Linked DNA regions of Danio rerio. The protein of the gene in region 2 purifies or fractionates together with the protein of the main gene of each other region. This does not show direct contact. Links are inferred from orthologs where the notes say so. Each region holds a gene or a part of one and is shown on either strand. Other genes may lie near its edges.

The links.
Region 1: the proteins of fbxl17 (region 2) and zbtb18 purify together in Homo sapiens (co-immunoprecipitation; 3 studies listed by BioGRID and IntAct, with this or other methods). This does not show direct contact. The link is inferred for Danio rerio from reciprocal best matches to the Homo sapiens genes FBXL17 and ZBTB18.
Region 3: the proteins of fbxl17 (region 2) and zbtb10 purify together in Homo sapiens (affinity purification with western blotting; 3 studies listed by BioGRID and IntAct, with this or other methods). This does not show direct contact. The link is inferred for Danio rerio from reciprocal best matches to the Homo sapiens genes FBXL17 and ZBTB10.

The regions. Positions count from the first base shown.
Region 1 is NC_133188.1:11,855,598-11,862,539, forward strand, and holds the start of zbtb18 (zinc finger and BTB domain-containing protein 18), read left to right. Parts: upstream 1-2,857; 5' UTR 2,858-3,039; coding exon 3,040-3,052; intron 3,053-4,986; coding exon 4,987-6,614; 3' UTR 6,615-6,942.
Region 2 is NC_133183.1:2,020,105-2,024,739, forward strand, and holds the end of fbxl17 (F-box/LRR-repeat protein 17), read left to right. Parts: intron 1-3,414; coding exon 3,415-3,552; 3' UTR 3,553-4,113; downstream 4,114-4,635. UniProt on the Homo sapiens protein: Substrate-recognition component of the SCF(FBXL17) E3 ubiquitin ligase complex, a key component of a quality control pathway required to ensure functional dimerization of BTB domain-containing proteins (dimerization quality control, DQC).
Region 3 is NC_133194.1:34,341,947-34,348,709, reverse strand, and holds the start of zbtb10 (zinc finger and BTB domain-containing protein 10), read left to right. Parts: upstream 1-2,678; 5' UTR 2,679-2,751; coding exon 2,752-3,093; intron 3,094-6,763. UniProt on the Homo sapiens protein: May be involved in transcriptional regulation.

The DNA.
Region 1 (6,942 bases), on a different chromosome or scaffold from region 2:
GAGTTCATCGCTTATGGTGCATTATTTTCCTTCTCATTCTATATCTATCTATCTATCTATCTATCTATCTATCTATCTATCTATCTATATATATATATATCCTGCTTTTTAATATTATTTTACATAGGCCTAATACAATAACACAATGTACTTCATTGCTTAAGAAAGACTATTGTCTTTTTCTTCCATCATTCGTAATCTTATCCAGTTATGTTTCTAGTTATTTATTTGTGTTTATTTATTCATTCATTCATTTTCCTTTGGCTTAGTCCTTTTATTAATCATGGGTCACCACAGCGGAATGAACCGCCAACTTATCCAACATATGTTTTACACAACGGATGCCCTTCCAGCTGCAACCCAGTACAGTGGGTTGCAGTGTTTATTTATTTATATATTTATTTGTGTTTGATTTTTTTCATCTGTAGGCCATATACGCATTATAATTTAATCTAGAACAATGTAAAATGAATAAAGATGAACAACTTCAAATTGAGTTGATGTGCTCTCTTATTTTAAAAAGCGTGTAATGCTGTTTGTCTGCGGATGAAATGGCAATAAAATTCGCATTAAATCTCGCAATTAGAGCTAGGAAACCCATTGGCAGTATTTCAGATAATAATCATTATCATTTCCAACAATAATTATTATTCCATATAATAATAATAATTGTTATTATTATTCATCCACTTGAGGACCTATTTTGTACGATAAATATTTGAAGATTATGAACACTAGGGCTTACTTTTGAAACATGTTACTTTTTATTTTATTCAATTGTAAATAATTTCGGCGCTCGGCTAATATCGTCTGTCTGTTTCTCATTTGCAATATTATTTCAAGGGGCCATATCGTTCTCCACTAGCCATGTGACTACCTCTGTGTGTGTGCGTGTGTGTCCGCGGCTCTGGAGGAAGTTGCAGTGCACCTGTTCTCCACCGCTGCTCTGCCCGTGACTACAGTACCCACGTAACATTGCGCAATGTCCCTCGATCCGCGCGCTGCGCCAGTCTGCTCGAGGAACCCGTCCGTTCGCTCGCTCGGCCTTTTTTTCTGCTTTCTCACTGTTGCCTGGTGTCAACCTACGCCGAGAAAGAGACATCCCTCCCTCTTCCCCCCTCAGCGGCAGCTTCCAATTTGCCTTCGCTTTTCTTTTCGCCTCTTCCATTGGCTTGCGCGCTGCCAGTCAAGCGCTTCCTCTTTACCGGAGAGTTGAGTAGCAACAGCTCGGAAACATCTGGCTGCCGCAGCTCTCTCGTCGCTCCGCTCGCCCGCTCCGTCTTTCCTGCCACTGCAGGTTGTTATGGAAAGCAGTTGAAAGTCAATCGAGTTGTTTTTCTCGCTGAGAGGATTAGACGGAGGAAGCAGGAAGACGTTGGACCTGGCTGCCTGTAAGTGCCTGTGATACGAGGTGCTCTTTAAGGAGATGAAAAGGGGGTTGGAGAACGGGCTGGATTGTTATGGGGAAAAGTAGCGATCTTTTTCACGCGACTGTTGTTGGTCTTGACGCGCAGAATGAGTTGCTCGAGCGCGTGGCATCGGGGCCTGCCGCAAAACTGTAACACTGCAGGTTGAAGGCTTACTTTTTATTTGTTAGCCACGCAAGCTAGCTTTTCCTGAACGTACGGGGTCAGGATCCAGAGAAAGACCGTCGGCAGTGCGCTGTGTGTGAGTGTGTTTGTGTAGGAGTAGCCTGCTATAATACCATATCCTACCCAGGTGGACTCGTACTTTGTTTTATTCTAGCGTCTTTTTGTTTGTTGTAATATGTTTTAAGTTTTAGAATGGCTAACTAGGCACCATTCGGTCTTTCTGGAGAACTTCCCAGGTTTGGAAACTATTTTGCTTTGACGTGTCATTGTACAAAACAAGTTTCTTTGCAAAGTTATATCTTTATGTTAACCAATTTCTTTGTAAATCTGTAAAGTGTTGTTTATTATTATAACTAAGCAGTGATGGTGGTTTTCCTGAAATAAAAAAAGCTCCTGTTAATTGTTTAAAATCCCCTGAGAGCAAGTGTAATGCACGTGACAGATGCAGTGAACTCTTCAGTTTTGTATTATTTGTGCATATCAGTGAGTTGTTTGTATTCATGAGTGTGACATCCTTCAGAAGAGACCTTCACATTGTCGTTGCATATCTTTGTTTTGCTGATTTTTGTGGTAAACAGGAAACTGTTGTTTGGCTCGTACCAAAGAAGTTGAACAGAAATGAGCAAGATACTTGGGAAGAAAGGAGTTTTGTAAGTGCTTAAGCGGAATACAGTGGCTTTTGTTTGAACCGTACTTATAAGGCCCGTATGATTGTTCCCATTGTTTCTTATTTCTTTTTTCCCCCTCCTCTGTCAGTTGTCCAAAGGGTTAGTAAAATGAATGACGGTAATGGCGCGGCCAGTGAACCATAAAGAAGTCGAAAACAATATCAGCTGCGTGGATCTGTCAGTTGCAAATGTGCTGTGCTGGCCTTTGTTTATGGTTACTGGAAGGAGAGGGGGGAAGAAAAAAAAACTTGAGGGTATTTAAATTCTCAGTGCAGGAAACTAGGTTAGAAAAAAGTGTCGGCTTTCAGACGGACCCATTTCCAAGTTCTTCTTTGCTGAGAGATTACAACCGAAGGGGGGAATTGGCTAGTTTTCTACAGAATCACCTCACAACACTTCCCTTCCTCCCGTTTTTTTAAAGGGGGAAAGAGAAACAAAGTTGTATAAAGGAGAGGCTGGTGGCAAGAGTGTAGAGGAGTAGCATATGGCACTAAAAGGAGCACAGCTGGAGGTAGCATTTCCATCTGAACATGATGTCAGAGCAGCTGACAGGCTGCCATCCCCCAGTCTTTTCTTCTAACGCACAGACTGGGAGTTAGTGTGTGTGCGGATCTGTGTGCAGGAGGAGGCATCGCATTCCCCTCCAACATCTCCTCCACTTTGCATCTGTCCCTCACAGTTTGATTTTCTCTCTCTTTCTTTCGCGTCTCTACCCTTTCATTGATTCGGCGGAGGGAGTTACAGCCGGCGCTACCACAACTGTGGACTTAATCAAGTTGATGCGTACTGCAGGTACTGTACCGGGGGGTCCAGGCAACAGGGATGTGTTTTGAATAGGGAGCTCTCGTTAAGTCTTTTTGCCATCAGAGTGTGCGCAAATGGGAAGTAAAGGATTTCGAGCTGGTGTGGTGTAACCAGGCTGGGGACAAGTGACACTTTTTGTTGCCATGAAGAGGTTTCCAGGCAAGCGTTTCATTATTCTGTTTGTTTACGGCTCTTCTTTTCAGTCACTTCTCAGTCTCGGTGGCAAATTGTTGCTCTGCTGTGACCGCATACAGTTGTGTTGTCGGTAGGTTAGTTAGTTATTATAGCATTATTGATTTAAAACAAGAAAATCTTGTGTGTTTGTGTGCTGTTAATCCGTTAAAATCTGTTTTTACTTTAAATGGCGAGATTTGAACAAAATTCTTAATCTTCTAAAAGCGGCTGAAATGCTATAAATCCGCAAATGTTCTTCGAAATGTCCCATCGTCAGGCTTTTGCTCAACTCTTTCCTTTTTTTCCCTGTTTGTAAGGACTAATTTAGAACTTGCAGATTTGAGCTGCCTGAATTGGCTAGACAGCTGTAATCGCACTCCTCCTAGTCTTAATCTCTTTATCTGGGCAGCAGCTGCCATATGGTCTCAGTCAGCTGGATCAGATGTTCATAAGCCTCCTTCTCCGTCCCTCTCTGTCCTCCCAGTCTCCTAATTTGATCGCTGCTACCTTGTGAGCTGTCCTGCAATCTTTATTTTTAGCCATCTTAAGGATTAGGATTGATGTAGACTACGGGGCACTTAAAGTGATTGTATTGTAAATCTGCTGTGGACCGCCTCTTTGGGGAGGATGTTCCATTTCTCCAAAGATTTGGGGAGGGGTAAAGGGGGAGGAGATGGTTGGCGAGAGGTTTGTTATCCCCCTGTCCCCCTATAAGCCCCTCATTAATGAAGGTCTGAACGCTGTTTGGGGTGGGGTGGGGGGGCTTTGGCTTGCTATCCCAATCAGATTTAAATGAAGATTCAAAGGAGTTCATTTAAGTCCGTTGGTTGAACATGACGCTGGTGCATTTTTTTAGACAGGAACCAACTCCAGGGGTAACAGGTGTGATTTCCAGGTTCTTTTCTCTTTAGTTTTAATTTGAACATTTTTTGTTTTTTATTATTTGTCTGTAAAAAAAAAAAATATTGTGCAATCTAGTTTGTATTTTATTTTCAGGCGGTCTGCGTTTGATTATGCCCGTCACGCTAATATTCTGATACCTCAATTGTCGTAACCTTAGAGATCATGGTACTTAGTATACTTATTCAGTGTGCCTATGATGGTGAGCTGTTTGTGTACCTGTAAGCCTGTTACCTATACTTGGCGTCCTGGCCAAAGTGGGTTATTATAAATAACTGCTCCAGGAGCACAGCGAGGGGAAAAAACAGGAAAGATTCTCTCGCGCAGGCATCTGTGGAATCAGGACTTCAGCTCCTTACATCACGCCATCTGATTATACTCGAGTGATTGGGATGGGATGTGCATGGCTCGATTGCTTTAAATGTAATTTTCGATACAAATATTTTTATTGGCATGTTTGTTTTAATTTCCCAGTTCTCATGCGATTTAAACTTTTAATTAAAAGGGTTAGTGCGAAATGCAATATTAAACACAGCACTGCATACTTGAAAGTGCACAAGTGAGGAAAATACAATTAGCATAATATATAAACCGTGATTTTATACTTATTGCATGTGCTTTTTTGTAATCCTTTTATGTCAGGACTGTGGTGAACATTTTTCCAGTGTTCCCACAGGGGTGGAGGGAGGGAGGGAGAATTAGAGTGTGTGAGAGTATGTCTGTGTGCATGGAGCGAGAGAGGGAGAGAGAGGGACGGAGCGGGTGGGAAAGAGAGAAGTTCCACACAGAGCACAGACAAAACAATTGTTGTTCTAGCGAGCCTCACTAACATCTGTGGTCTTTTGCAGGTTATGAAGACAGCATGGAGTTTCCAGACCACAGCAGACATTTGCTACAGTGTCTGAGTGAGCAGAGGCATCAGGGATTCCTTTGTGACTCCACTGTGCTGGTCGGTGATGCCCAGTTCCGAGCCCATCGTGCAGTGCTGGCTTCATGCAGCATGTACTTCCACCTCTTTTACAAGGACCAGCTAGACAAAAGGGACATTGTTCATCTGAACAGCGACATTGTCACAGCCCCGGCCTTCGCTCTCCTGCTTGAGTTCATGTACGAAGGAAAGCTGCAGTTTAAATCACTTCCAGTGGAAGATGTGCTGGCTGCTGCCAGCTACCTCCACATGTATGATATCGTCAAGGTGTGCAAGAAGAAGCTCAAGCAGAAGGCCACGGCTGAGGCTGACAGCACCAAGCGGGAAGAGGACACGTCCAGCTGCTCGGACAAGGTGGAGAGTTTCTCAGAAGGTGGAAGCACGGGCCGGCCCGCAACTGCTGACCTGCTGCAGAGCGATGATGAGGACATGGAGAACAAGCGGGACAGCCCTCAGGAGCCAGGGAGCATGTGGATGCGACTGCCTTCCGACCGGACCACGTCTCCCACCACCAGCCCCAGGGAGGCAGAAACGCATGGTCCTGATGCTGGCAAATCCCCTGCCGGCAGCCCCAGCAGCTCTTCTGGCTCTCTGTCCCGTCGCTCTGCAGCATCTCGGAGAGTCTCTGCTGACACTGATTGTGTGCTTGACCTCTCTGTGAAATCGAGCCTTGGTGGAGGTCCTGGGGAGAACATTGCTGGCAACCCTTACTTCTGCAGCTCTGTGACCCCTGACAGCCTCCAGAGTGCCCTGGTTCAAGTGAAGGTGGAAAAGGACACCGGCTCCGACGATGATGAACTGGTGAGCGGTGACTATGAGATGGAGCACAGTGGTGTGAAGGAGCCACCCAGCACCAACGGGACCCACCTCAGCCTTGTTGCGCAGCGGAGGCTGGGCCTGGAAGCTCATCTCTCGGCTCTGCGCGAGGCCTCGCTGGCCAGTGAGCTTGAGCGGGACGACAAAGGAGGCGATGATGACACAGATGTCCTCGGCGGAGACAGTGATCGAGTGCAGGAGGCTGCGGGAGTCGAGAGCTCCCTGTTGCCTTATGTCTCCAGCATGCTGGGGGCACCACATACCCAGATCTTCATGTGCCCCTTATGCAACAAGGTCTTTCCCAGCCCCCATATCCTGCAAATCCACCTCAGCACACATTTTCGTGAACAGGAAGGCGTACGGGCCAAGCCGGCAGGCGACGTCAACGTCCCCACATGCTCCATCTGTGGCAAAACCTTCTCCTGCATGTACACGTTAAAACGCCACGAGAGGACACACTCAGGCGAGAAGCCCTACACTTGCACTACTTGCGGCAAGAGCTTCCAGTACTCACACAACCTGAGCCGGCATGCCGTCGTGCACACACGCGAGAAGCCGCATGCTTGCAAGTGGTGCGAGCGGCGCTTCACACAGTCAGGGGACTTGTATCGACACATCCGCAAGTTCCACTGCGAACTGGTCAACTCGCTCTCGGTTAAGAGCGAGGCGCTCAATCTACCCACGGTCAGAGACTGGGCACTGGAAGATAGTTCTCAAGAACTGTGGAAATGAATGCTAAAATGATTGCAGACTGTTTGAACTGCTTGTTAATTTAATAAGAGATCTGAGTGGCATTTTTGGGGGCAGAAAGGTGAAGGTAAGAGTGGGAAGGAGTGACGGCCGAAGGGTCTGAATCAGTCATTTTTCTTGTATGTACATTGCAAATCTTGTTGAATTGCACTTTACTAGCACATGAAAATGTTACTACTGATTTTCTTTTAATATATTTTCTGGTTGACTTAGGGTCTTTCTTTTTTTCCTGTTTACTTTGGGTTTTTATAAAACATGGGTTCTGGTTTTTGGCAACCAGAACAAAATATTCATTGGGATTTTCAACTGT
Region 2 (4,635 bases):
CTAGAGATGGTTGTGTGTGAAAATCCCAGTAGATCAGCAGTTTCTGAAATACTCAGAGCAGCCCGTCTGGCAGCAACAACCATGCCACGTTCAAAGTCACCCAAAATCCCCTTTCTTCCCCATTCTGATGCTCACTTTGAACTGCAGCAGATCGTCTTGACCATGTCTACATGCCTAAATGCAGTGAGTTGCTCCTATGGCTAAATATGAAATAAAGCTGATTTGAGATCAGTATTTTGATATTTGATCTGTAAATACTTTGCAGCAGATGTCATCATACACTTAAACTCCATGAGGTGTGTGTGTGTACCTATGTGTGTGTGTGCGTATGTGTGGGTCCCTGTGTGTCTATCTGTGCATGTGTGTGTGTGTGCATGTATGTGTGTGTGCATGTATGTGTGTGTGTGTGCGTGTGTGTGTGTGTGTGCATGTATGTGTGTGTGTTTGTGTGTGTGTGTGTGTGTGTGTGTGATTACAGCAGGTCATGTGAGATGTTCACCTTCAGTCTGCATGTGATTCACACACTTGACATTGTAGATGATGAAGGTTTGGCCTGGATCCCTGCGGTGATTATCTCACGCAGAACATGTGCAGCGTCTGTGTTTCATCACAGCCGCTCGCTTTCAAGTGCACATCAGATCCAGCGCTGTGTGTGTGTGTTTGTGTGTGTCTGTGTGTGTGTGTGTGCATGCATTTGTGCGTGCGTGTGTGTGCATGTGTGTGTGTGTGTGTGTGTGTGTGTGTGTGTGTGTGTGTGTGTCTGATATCAACATGTAGAGCTCTACACTGCAAACAGCCATCATCCTCAGTGTTTCAGTCTGGCTCTACATAGAAAAGTTTTTAATAAGAGACATTTGCTCAAGAAGCAGGAGACTTATTATGCAGAGATCACTTCTATAAGGGGTTTAACCCCAGTTGTGTGTCAGCAGTGTGTGAATATCTCCAGCCTCTAATGGTCAACATGAATTAATTGTGTTTGTTATAATCAGACTTGATGAATGAAACTCTTTGATTAACATTCTGCCTTTGTACGTGTCATCAGATGGGGAAAGCCCCGCCCACTAGTGCCCATCTCTCCCTTATTAACATAAACAGCAGCCCTGAGTGAGAAGCAGTCGTCTGTCCATTAGAGTGTTTGACAGGCCCGGCGCTACGGGGGGGCAAAGGGTGGCTTTGCCCCCTCAGAAAGAGTTTGTGCCCCCCCCAGTTTTCATAAAAGATTGTTCACTCAAACTGAAAATTCTTTCTGTCATTAAATATTAACACTCCCGTAGTTCCAACCTTCAGAACACACATTTAAATATTTTAAAATATATGACATAGCAATTGAATTATGAAAATGGTGAGATTAAAGCTAGTCCTATAGTCCAGAGATCGGGTCCCCGCGTCAGGTCAGGTGCGCCCGTAAATAGCCTTTAAAACGCGCACACGGCGATGGAGGCGCACTCAACTCACAAGGGAGAAAATGGGTGACATGATAGGAGCAGCTTAATTCATTACATGCTTTGGTTAACTAATTATTTAAACAACTCTCTTGAGCTCTAAAAGGCAAAATCACATTTTTTTTTGCTGTTAAATTTGCTGTTAAATTAATTTTAGCAGAGACGCAACTGCCAGTCATTTATTAGTTATTCGGGAAGATGTAGCCTAATAAAAATGTTTTAATAAAAACAAATAGTTTACTGCACAGTCCCACAGTAGGCTACACTATAAATAATATTTTAATTTATTTATTAATATTATTATTAATATTATTACAATTAAGCCAAAATTGACAAAACGCAGAACCCTTTAAAAGTTTGCTTTCATTTTGCTGAAAAGTGCACTTTTACAGTTGTGTAGAGAAACATCCCATTATGCAGCAGCAGTCAAGCTATAACACATAATAAATGCCTTTTGGGTTTAAAGATGATCGGCCTGCGAAGTCAAGTTTGCAGTGTTATAAATGGAATAGGTATAGTGCTTAAGTGGATTTACCACGGATCAACCGAGAAACCTCGTGCGCTGCAGGGAGGCAGAATGATAATCTTTTAAAAATATGTCATTTAGGCTATACTGCTATTTGCTCATGCAAAATTAAACAACATACAATATATTGTAGATCTATTTTAAGAGCTAAAATACAACATATCGAGTTTGTTTTGACTTGTAACTCATGGCCCTAAAATGAAAATAACCTGAAAACAAGTTATTAAAAAAAGGCTTAATAAATAAAATAATTAATAAATAAAATTACGGGTAAGCCAGTAACCTAATGGTTTATGATGGTTTACAATATATCACGAAAAAAGCACACTTATGATAGCCTAAGATAAATCTTTGTTTTTACATTTAAAATGATTTAAAAAATAAAATAAAGTTATATAGCCTGAGTTGCGTGTTATCCGTGCCAAAATTTAACCAATTTTCACAGTAATAACATGTGAATTTTGGTATCTTTTTAGGTATTTTTCTGGCTACACTAATGCCTTAAAATGTAACTAAGTAAATGTTTTAAATGACATTAGATTGTAACATTTAGCTTTTCCCTAACACTGATGTTGGTTGGATAATATAGGAAGCGGGATGACTCGGTTAAGCTGATTTCACTATATTTATTTACCGGTTAAATTAATAGTCTGTTCGTGGGTCAGCTTGCATGTGTGGGCATAATTTGACGTCTTTACCTAAAACTTTAAACATTCATAGGCCTGTTATTTGATTTTGAAATAAAACGAAAATAAGGAGAATAACATGATTTAAAGCACTCGTTTGGCACTGAAGCCATCATCCGTCTGCATTAATAAGCGGTATGCATTACCATCGTTAATAAAATTCGTCATAGCGAAACTGCATATTGTTATTACTATTAAAACGTAGCCTATATTACTGCCTTAGGTCAGTAGCTTAGGCAGTAATGCAAAGTAAAAATAAATGTGAATAAATAGCCTAAATGAAAGAAACAAGAGACCAAAATCAGTCACCAGGTCTAGTGCCCCCCCTATGGATTTAAAGTGCCCCCTCAGTTTTGACTACCTGGCGCCGGGCCTGGTGTTTGAGCTGCTGAAGATAATGTCAGCATAGACTAAGAGGATTATAGATGTGGAGTTTTAGATGACAGGAGTCTCCATAGACTGACAGAAGCATGAACACACACTCACACTGAAGCGCACATGCACACCTGACAACACACACACACTGCTGTTTTACAGCTGCCACTATGATGATGCACAGGTGTCTGTAGCTCCGCCCTCTTCTCAAAAGAGCACAATCTCATTTGCATTTAAAGTGACAGTCACCAAAACACCACAATTAGGATTAAAGCCTGAAAGGGTCAGTTTCAGAGAGCTGTTGTGTGCCACAGTTGAGTTGTGTGCTATAATTCTGACTAATTCCTAAACTGTGTGTCTGTGTGTGTTTGTTTTTCTGTTGCAGGTGAACGAGGAGACAGTGGAGAGACTGGTGCTGCAGTATCCACACATTGTGTTCAGTACGGTGATGCAGGACTGTAAGAGAACACTGGAGAGAGCCTATCAGATGGGCTGGAGCCCCAACACGTCCAGCGCGTCCTAACACACACACACACACACACACACACACACACACACACAAACACACATGCATATATACACATACACAAACACATATATGCGCACACATAGATGCACACAAACACACATACTGTACACACACACACCTGTTCATGACGCCGCTGCAGATTCACTATCATAACTATGCCGTTTATTCCGCCTTCCTTTATCAACATTATGCATCTGAAACATTCACCGCTGTCAAACATGTTCACATGATTCTGCATTTATTTACCAGATTCAGAAACACACCCGGCTCATATTTCTCTCTGAAATCAGGAGAAGGACATGCTGATGGGGTTTTTGCGTGATGAACACTGTTTTTGGACCACAGGATTTTTGCATTTGGACATTTCCATGCAGCTCTCATTATTGCCACGCATCTGGACATTTGACTTTAGTGATTTGTTTGTTACTCTCATCATCATCAGAGGTGATTTTCATTGCTTTCCCATTACTGAAACACACTTGAGTTTTGCCGGAGTAAACAAATACTTAAGTGATGTTGTTATCATTTTTAGCTATTAAAATATTGTTAAATCAGTATATGTGTTTGAGAACCTAAATAGTTTATTTAAAACAACAATAATAATAATAATAATAATAATAATACAAATAAAAATGTTAAAACATGTGGAAATCTGCTAATCGGGGTAAAAAAAAATGAACATTGATTTAAGATTATTTTTTGGACCCGTCGGCTACATTTTTGTTCTTGTTATGCATTATTGGATTCATTTTTGTAAATAAATAAAAATAAAAAATAAAAATAAACACTAAAAATATTTTAGTGTGTACTTGCACTGCGAAAAAAAAGGGTTTAATTATTATTATTATTATTATTATTTAATATTATTATTATTAGTTTTGCTTGTTTTATATGCTCTCAAATCAAGACACATTATATAAAGGAACAAACTTGCTGTTTTTTATTCTATATAAAGTTGAAATAAATAAATAAATAAAAATTAAGTGCATGCTTAAAACAAGAAGAAATCCAGAAAAAAAGATAGTTTTTCCTAATTGTCAGCTTGAAGTCTAATCATTCAAGTTTAATCTTAAAGAA
Region 3 (6,763 bases), on a different chromosome or scaffold from region 2:
CTCCCTACCTACGCGTGGGTTTCCTCCGGGTGCTCCGGTTTCCCCCAGAGTCAAGACAGGTGAATTGGGTAGCCTAAATTGTCCGTAGGGTGTGAATGTGTGTGTGGATGTTTCCCAGAGATTGGTTGCGGCTGCACCCACTGCGTACAAACTTGCTGGATAAATTGGCGGTTCATTCTGCTGTGGCGACCTCTGATTAATAAAGGGACTTAGCCGACAAGAAAGTGAATGAATGAATTTAACACCTTCAAGATATTTCAGTAAGTTTAAGACTTTTTAAGACCCTGCAGACACCCTAAATACAATAAATAGGCTACTCATACATTCTAGAGTTCATCATAAATAATATTAAATAAACAAACAACAAATTACACCGTAAAATGTGACATCTGGAGACATACACTGCAAAAAATGCTTCGTACATTTTACTTTAAAAAAATTGAAGCATCAGCCTTTTGAGTGTTTCAAACTCATTTTATTTTAGTTTGTCCTATTAGACTTTACGTGTTCTCAACTTGCACTTTCAAGTAACAATTTTTAGTTTTGGGTTTCTCAAACCAAAAATGTGCTTATTTTGAGTGCATGTATTTGGACTTGTGGGGGAAACCGAACCACCTGGAGGAAACCTACAAAAACATGGGAAAAACATGCAAACTCCACACAGAAACGCCAACTGATCCAGCCAAGGCTTGAACCAGGGACCTTCTTGCTGTGAGGCAATTGTGCTACCCACTGCGCCACCATTGCTGCTGTATTTTTACCATTATTCAGTAAAAATTGAACAGAGCTTTTAAGTAATGGAAACATAATTTTATTATTTTTCAACCTTTATTAAGTATTGAATCCTTTTTAGTTTTCTACATCAAACAATAAACACAAAAATAGTCAAATGCATTTATTAAGTTGAAAATTCTCTTTTTTTAAGTATTACAGAATTTATACCACAATGTTAAAACATCATTTTAACTTTATTTTTTTTAATACTCTGGCAAAGGCTACAACTTTAACCCCTTTAACAGAAGCTATAAATGACAGAGATAATGATAAAGGGTTACCGGTATTGCTCTTTTTAATGTACACTAAAAATATTTTGTATTCCTTATGAAAAAAAGAAAATTGGACACTCTGGCAATTAGTAATCCAAGCCATTTTTTCCAGATCTTCAGCGAATAACACACAATTACCATCCTAATTTCGACATGATAATGGTAATGATTAGCAGGGCTAACAAAAATGAAGTCCTGCTCCTCCATGAGGGTGAGCTCGGAGTTTTTAATTCACCTACAGTCAAACCGGACACGCCCAGAGGAAGCTGCATGCGCTTATAAATCGTCAATCGTGTTATCATGTTTGTAGTGTAGGAAATGACGCCACCCACTGGGTGACAGGCTTTAATAATCCTACAGAAAGTAGCCTATATTCTAATCTAAACAATCAAGGAAATATTCGTCGTTTTTTTTTTTTTTATCTCAAATGGCCCTTCAAATACACCATATGTGATCTTAAATTTGATGTTGTAAAACTGTAAATAGACATGTCTCAGTTTATTTTTTTAAGTTTTAAAATGAAATATGGCGGTTCGTTCCGCTGTGGCGACCCCTGGTAAATCAGGGATTAAGCCTAAAGATGAGAGTGATTATGGTACGAGTTGGAGATAAAATGAATAGATGAATAAAAAAATCATGACAACAACATAAAACTATTTTGACAGTGACAGTGCCTTTTCTTGCATTTTATATAGCTTCGCTGCGATAATGTATTTTAACTATCTGTATTTGTAATACAATGCAGTATTAAAGTTTCCAGATATTTCAAATTGTGTGATGAAATATGTATTAAAAATCAACCAGTGTCAAAACTTGTATATTTAACCATCCACCTCCATTACCACCTGGAAAATACACCTATGCATGCATTCATCGCGAGAAGCTTTTTACTCCAGCGAGTCAGCAGCGACCCACCTGTCCTGATCATCGGGACTCGCGCGACAAACATGGAGCGCCGGCTGTAATGTCACGCGCCGGGGAGGGCGTGAAAGGGATACAAAGACTTATTGGTTCGAGACGTGTAGCCCTTTAGATGAAAAAGCATGCGGAAAATGGGTGCAGTCATCGACACAAAAGACCCCTGGCTGTTCGGCGTCACCCCCATCTTCCTTTAACACGAGCCCCCCCTCCTCCCTCTGACCGAGATGCATTGTGGGGGAAGTCGTTGCCATTCGACCTCTGCGGGGCCTGCGCGGACGCAGACAGAACCCTGAAATTCATTATGCCTTTAAAACCCCTATTTATTTCCGCATAACCTACATACTCTCACCAGGAGGCCGGAGCGCGGAAAAACGGCTCATTTCATGCGGAATACTTTATTTACGAGAGCCGCGATCGGATTTTTGTTTTGTTGAGGAAGTGAAGATTGTAATTTATTTCTAGAAAAATGTCCGGAGAGCGAAACCGCAGGTCGCTGGCTTTCCGAGGAGGTGGATTAGCCGTCACCGGTCCCAGCGCCGTCGGAGGAGGCAGCAACGGCAACAGCTGTGAGGCCCCGGCCTGTCAAGACCGACATTTGAACGGGAACAGACCGGATCAGGAGGACGATCGGGATTTGGGGGCGAAAGGACCATCGCTGGGGAAAGTCGAGGGCGGGGGGTCTGTCAGCGACAGCACGGAGCCGGAGGCAGAGGAGGACGAGGACCCGGAAGGGGGCACTTGGACAGCGGGGAAACATAATGACAGGGGCGTTTTAAACAGCGTAATGCTGAAAACCGAGGGCTGTAAGAAGGCGACTGGCAACGGTGTGAACCGGGAGGACGGGAGCACGGGAGAGGCGGAAGAAACGGCCGCGAGAAAGCCGCTGCTGGAGATGAGACCTCAGACGCTGCTGCAGAAACACTCGCTCTTCCAAGCCTGCTGGCTGGAGGAGTTTCCCTGGCTCAGATTCAGCCACGAAACAGGACTCATGTCTTGCTCCTGGTGCCATAACATCGCCACCAACAACAGCGACGAGTTGGTAAAAGGCAGTCGGAATTACAAGCGGGCCTTGCTGCTGAGACATCACCTGTCCTCGGAGCACGGCAGGAATGACCCGACCAAACAGGTACGTTCGCAGTCTGGTATAACGGGGACACTCGCACCGCCGACGAAGACGAGTTTAAAAGGGTTGTTCCGTGTTTCGTTAACAAACGTCGACGTTTTTATTCCTATTTTAGAGTGGGAATGTTGTTTTCGAAGAGGTTTAGCGAGCTAACAAGTATGTTAGCTATACTCAAGTCGGAGGTAGCAGGTTAGCATGTGTGAGCTAACTGGATCAGCGCTGTCAATTCGTGAGGGGAGCTTAAAACCCTCGACTGCCTCGTTTAAAGTATAAATATTTATCTTAGATGTCATATGCTCATTTAAAGCCTTACAGAAACCATATTGTTTCCTTTTTTACAAGAATTCGTTGTGTGATTGTGTAGGATTTAATACGAGATATCAATTATTAAACAGACCGCAAGTGAGATTGTGACTCAAAATGTTCTCTCTGTTTCCTGCGTTGCACTGTAATTATCAACCCTGGTTACCAGGGTAACTAACCTGATTGCCACAGAGGTCACACAATGGCAAGGGCTTGACCCTGCTACCTTTGGGGAGCCGCACCCCTTCCCAACCCCCTCGCTGTAAAAAGTGACCTCTGGCACATCTCACCCTCCCCTTTTAGGGCATCTAAATTAGAGGCATTGTGTTAGGTGACTCCCCAAGATCCATAGATAGTGTGTGTCATTTGCTACATTGGACTGGAGTGAATTATGTCGCCTGTAAGGACAGCAATGCCTGATACGTGCAGACCACTGCAATGAGCAGAATGAGATTAGACTCGAAGTCATATCACACCAGAACAATGTTCTATTGGTCATTTGCTCGTATAATGCACTGCAAAAGTGAAATTTGATTCATATTTCTTCTGTCTTCTATACCCGGAGGAGATGTCGTTTAAGATAAATTGTTATTGATCAATATTTGTAATGCTTCAGATTCCATGTGCTCTATCAAGCCACAGAATGACTGATTCAAATACTTAATTCCACCCAGAAGATGCCGTGTTATTGGTTTGCCTGTGAAATCCCTTAAGGATTGCGTGGTATGATAACGTCCAGTCTGTCTAATCAGGGTGACACAAAGTGTTCCACTAACTCAATTTATACCCCTCACTAATTAGGAAGGAAAGGAGGAGGAGATTACCACTGACTCCCTAGCAACACGGGGTTAAGACGCTCCAGCAGATCTGAACCCTGTAACACTTTCCTGTTCGCTCACTTTGAAGTGACCTCTGTCAGTCAACCTTTTCACAGTACTGTTTCTGTTGTATTGAGTTGAATGTGTTATAAATGTGCAAAAATACACACATCGCACAGAAAACTTGGCATATTGTCTGACATCGATTGTGCGTATTAAAGCTCTGTAGATCTATCTATCTATCTATCTATCTATCTATCTATCTATCTATCTATCTATCTATCTATCTATCTATCTATCTATCTATCCCAAGTACTATAGACAAATTAAAAATGTTTGTCTGTTTCTCCTATACTATACTAATTCCATCCATCCATCCATCCATTAATTAGTAAATATCCCAAATACTATAGACAAATTCTATCTATCTATCTATCTATCTATCTATCTATCTATCTATCTATCTATCTATCTATCTATCTATCTATCTATCTATCATTACTAAATATCCCAAATACTATAGACAAATTATAAATGTTTGTCTGTTTCTCCTATACTATGCTAATTCCATCCATCCATCCATCCATCCATCCATCCATCCATCCATCCATCCATCCATCCATTAGTAAATATCCCAAATACTATAGACAAATACTAAAGATGTCTATCTATCTATCTATCTATCTATCTATCTATCTATCTATCTATCTATCTATCTATCTATCTATCTATCTATCTATCTATCTATCTATCTATCTATCTATCTATCTATCTATCTATCCCAAGTACTATAGACAAATTATAAATGTTTGTCTGTTTCTCCTATACTATACTAATTCCATCCATCCATCCATCCATCCATCCATCCATCCATTAGTAAATATCCCAAATACTATAGACAAATTATAAATGTTTGTTTCTCCTATACTACACTAAATCCACCCACCCACCCACCCATCCATCCATCCACCCAACGATCCATCCATCCTCCCACCCATCCTCCCACCCATCCATCCATCCATCCATCCATCCATCCATCCATCCATCCATCCATCCATCCATCCATCCATCCATCCATCCATCATTAGTAAATATCCCAAATACTATAGACAAATTATATCTATCTTATCTATCTATCTATCTATCTATCTATCTATCTATCTATCTATCTATCTATCTATCTATCTATCTATCTATCTATCTATCTATCTATCTATCTATCTATCTATCTATCTATCTATCTATCTATCATTACTAAATATCCCAAGTACTATAGACAAATTATAAATGTTTGTCTGTTTTCCTATACTATACTAATTCCATCCATCCATCCATCCATTAGTAAATATCCCAAATACTATAGACAAATTCTATCTATCTATCTATCTATCTATCTATCTATCTATCTATCTATCTATCTATCTATCTATCTATCTATCTATCTATCTATCTATCTATCTATCTATCTATCTATCTATCTATCTATCTATCTATCTATCTATCTATCTATCATTACTAAATATCCCAAGTACTATAGACAAATTATAAATGTTTGTCTGTTTTCCTATACTATACTAATTCCATCCATCCATCCATCCATTAGTAAATATCCCAAATACTATAGACAAATTCTATCTATCTATCTATCTATCTATCTATCTATCTATCTATCTATCTATCTATCTATCTATCTATCTATCTATCTATCTATCTATCTATCTATCTATCTATCTATCTATCTATCTATCTATCTATCTATCTATCTAGTTATGATTTACTTTTGTCAAAAAGTGTGTGATAGCTGACAGGAAGACCACAATATCTTGGAAGAATAGCATCTGTCTTAAAGTGGGCTGTGCAGAACATTAGGCTGTCTGAGTAGAGAGAGACTTTTCTGGTAGGCCACATCCTCCAATAGCCAATTTCATAATTGTGATCCATTATGTTTTTCAGTGCAGCGACTGTCCGTCATAATGGGCTAAATTTCTTCACTGGTCCATATCAAGCTCCTGTAATTTAATTAGCCCTAAAGCAGGGTATCTGGGATGCCTCATTCTCCTGTCTGGACTTAAAACTATTTGCCCTTTCTTCCAGTTATTAGTGAGCTCCAATGAAGACGAGGGTCTCCACCCCAGTGCTGTCTGCCGCTCTGAGATATGTGTGTATTGGGTCAGGGGGGGTTGTTGTGGTGGCGTTGTTGTTGTTGGTGCTGGTGGGGGAGAATTCCCTGGAATTTTGTATCGATGAGCCCTGCTCTTTGTTGGGAGGCCCAGATTCTGGCATTCCCCTCCCACACCTTGGGTCAAGCACACTGCTGCATTGTTCATGCATCTGGATGAGGGGACCAGGCGCTGGCCTCAGGGGCTGGGATGGCTCAGGAAGACTATGCGCAAGGAAAACAAAACCAACGTTCCTGTTGTCTGAGGCACAATGTCCCCCTAACATGCCACTTGCGTAGTGTATTCTCACTGCGGCACTGGTAGGTGATAAAGGCACGGCTCTCTGTTGCTGAAGGCTATGTGTTTAAATTTTGGGGCTATTGTTGGCTTGCT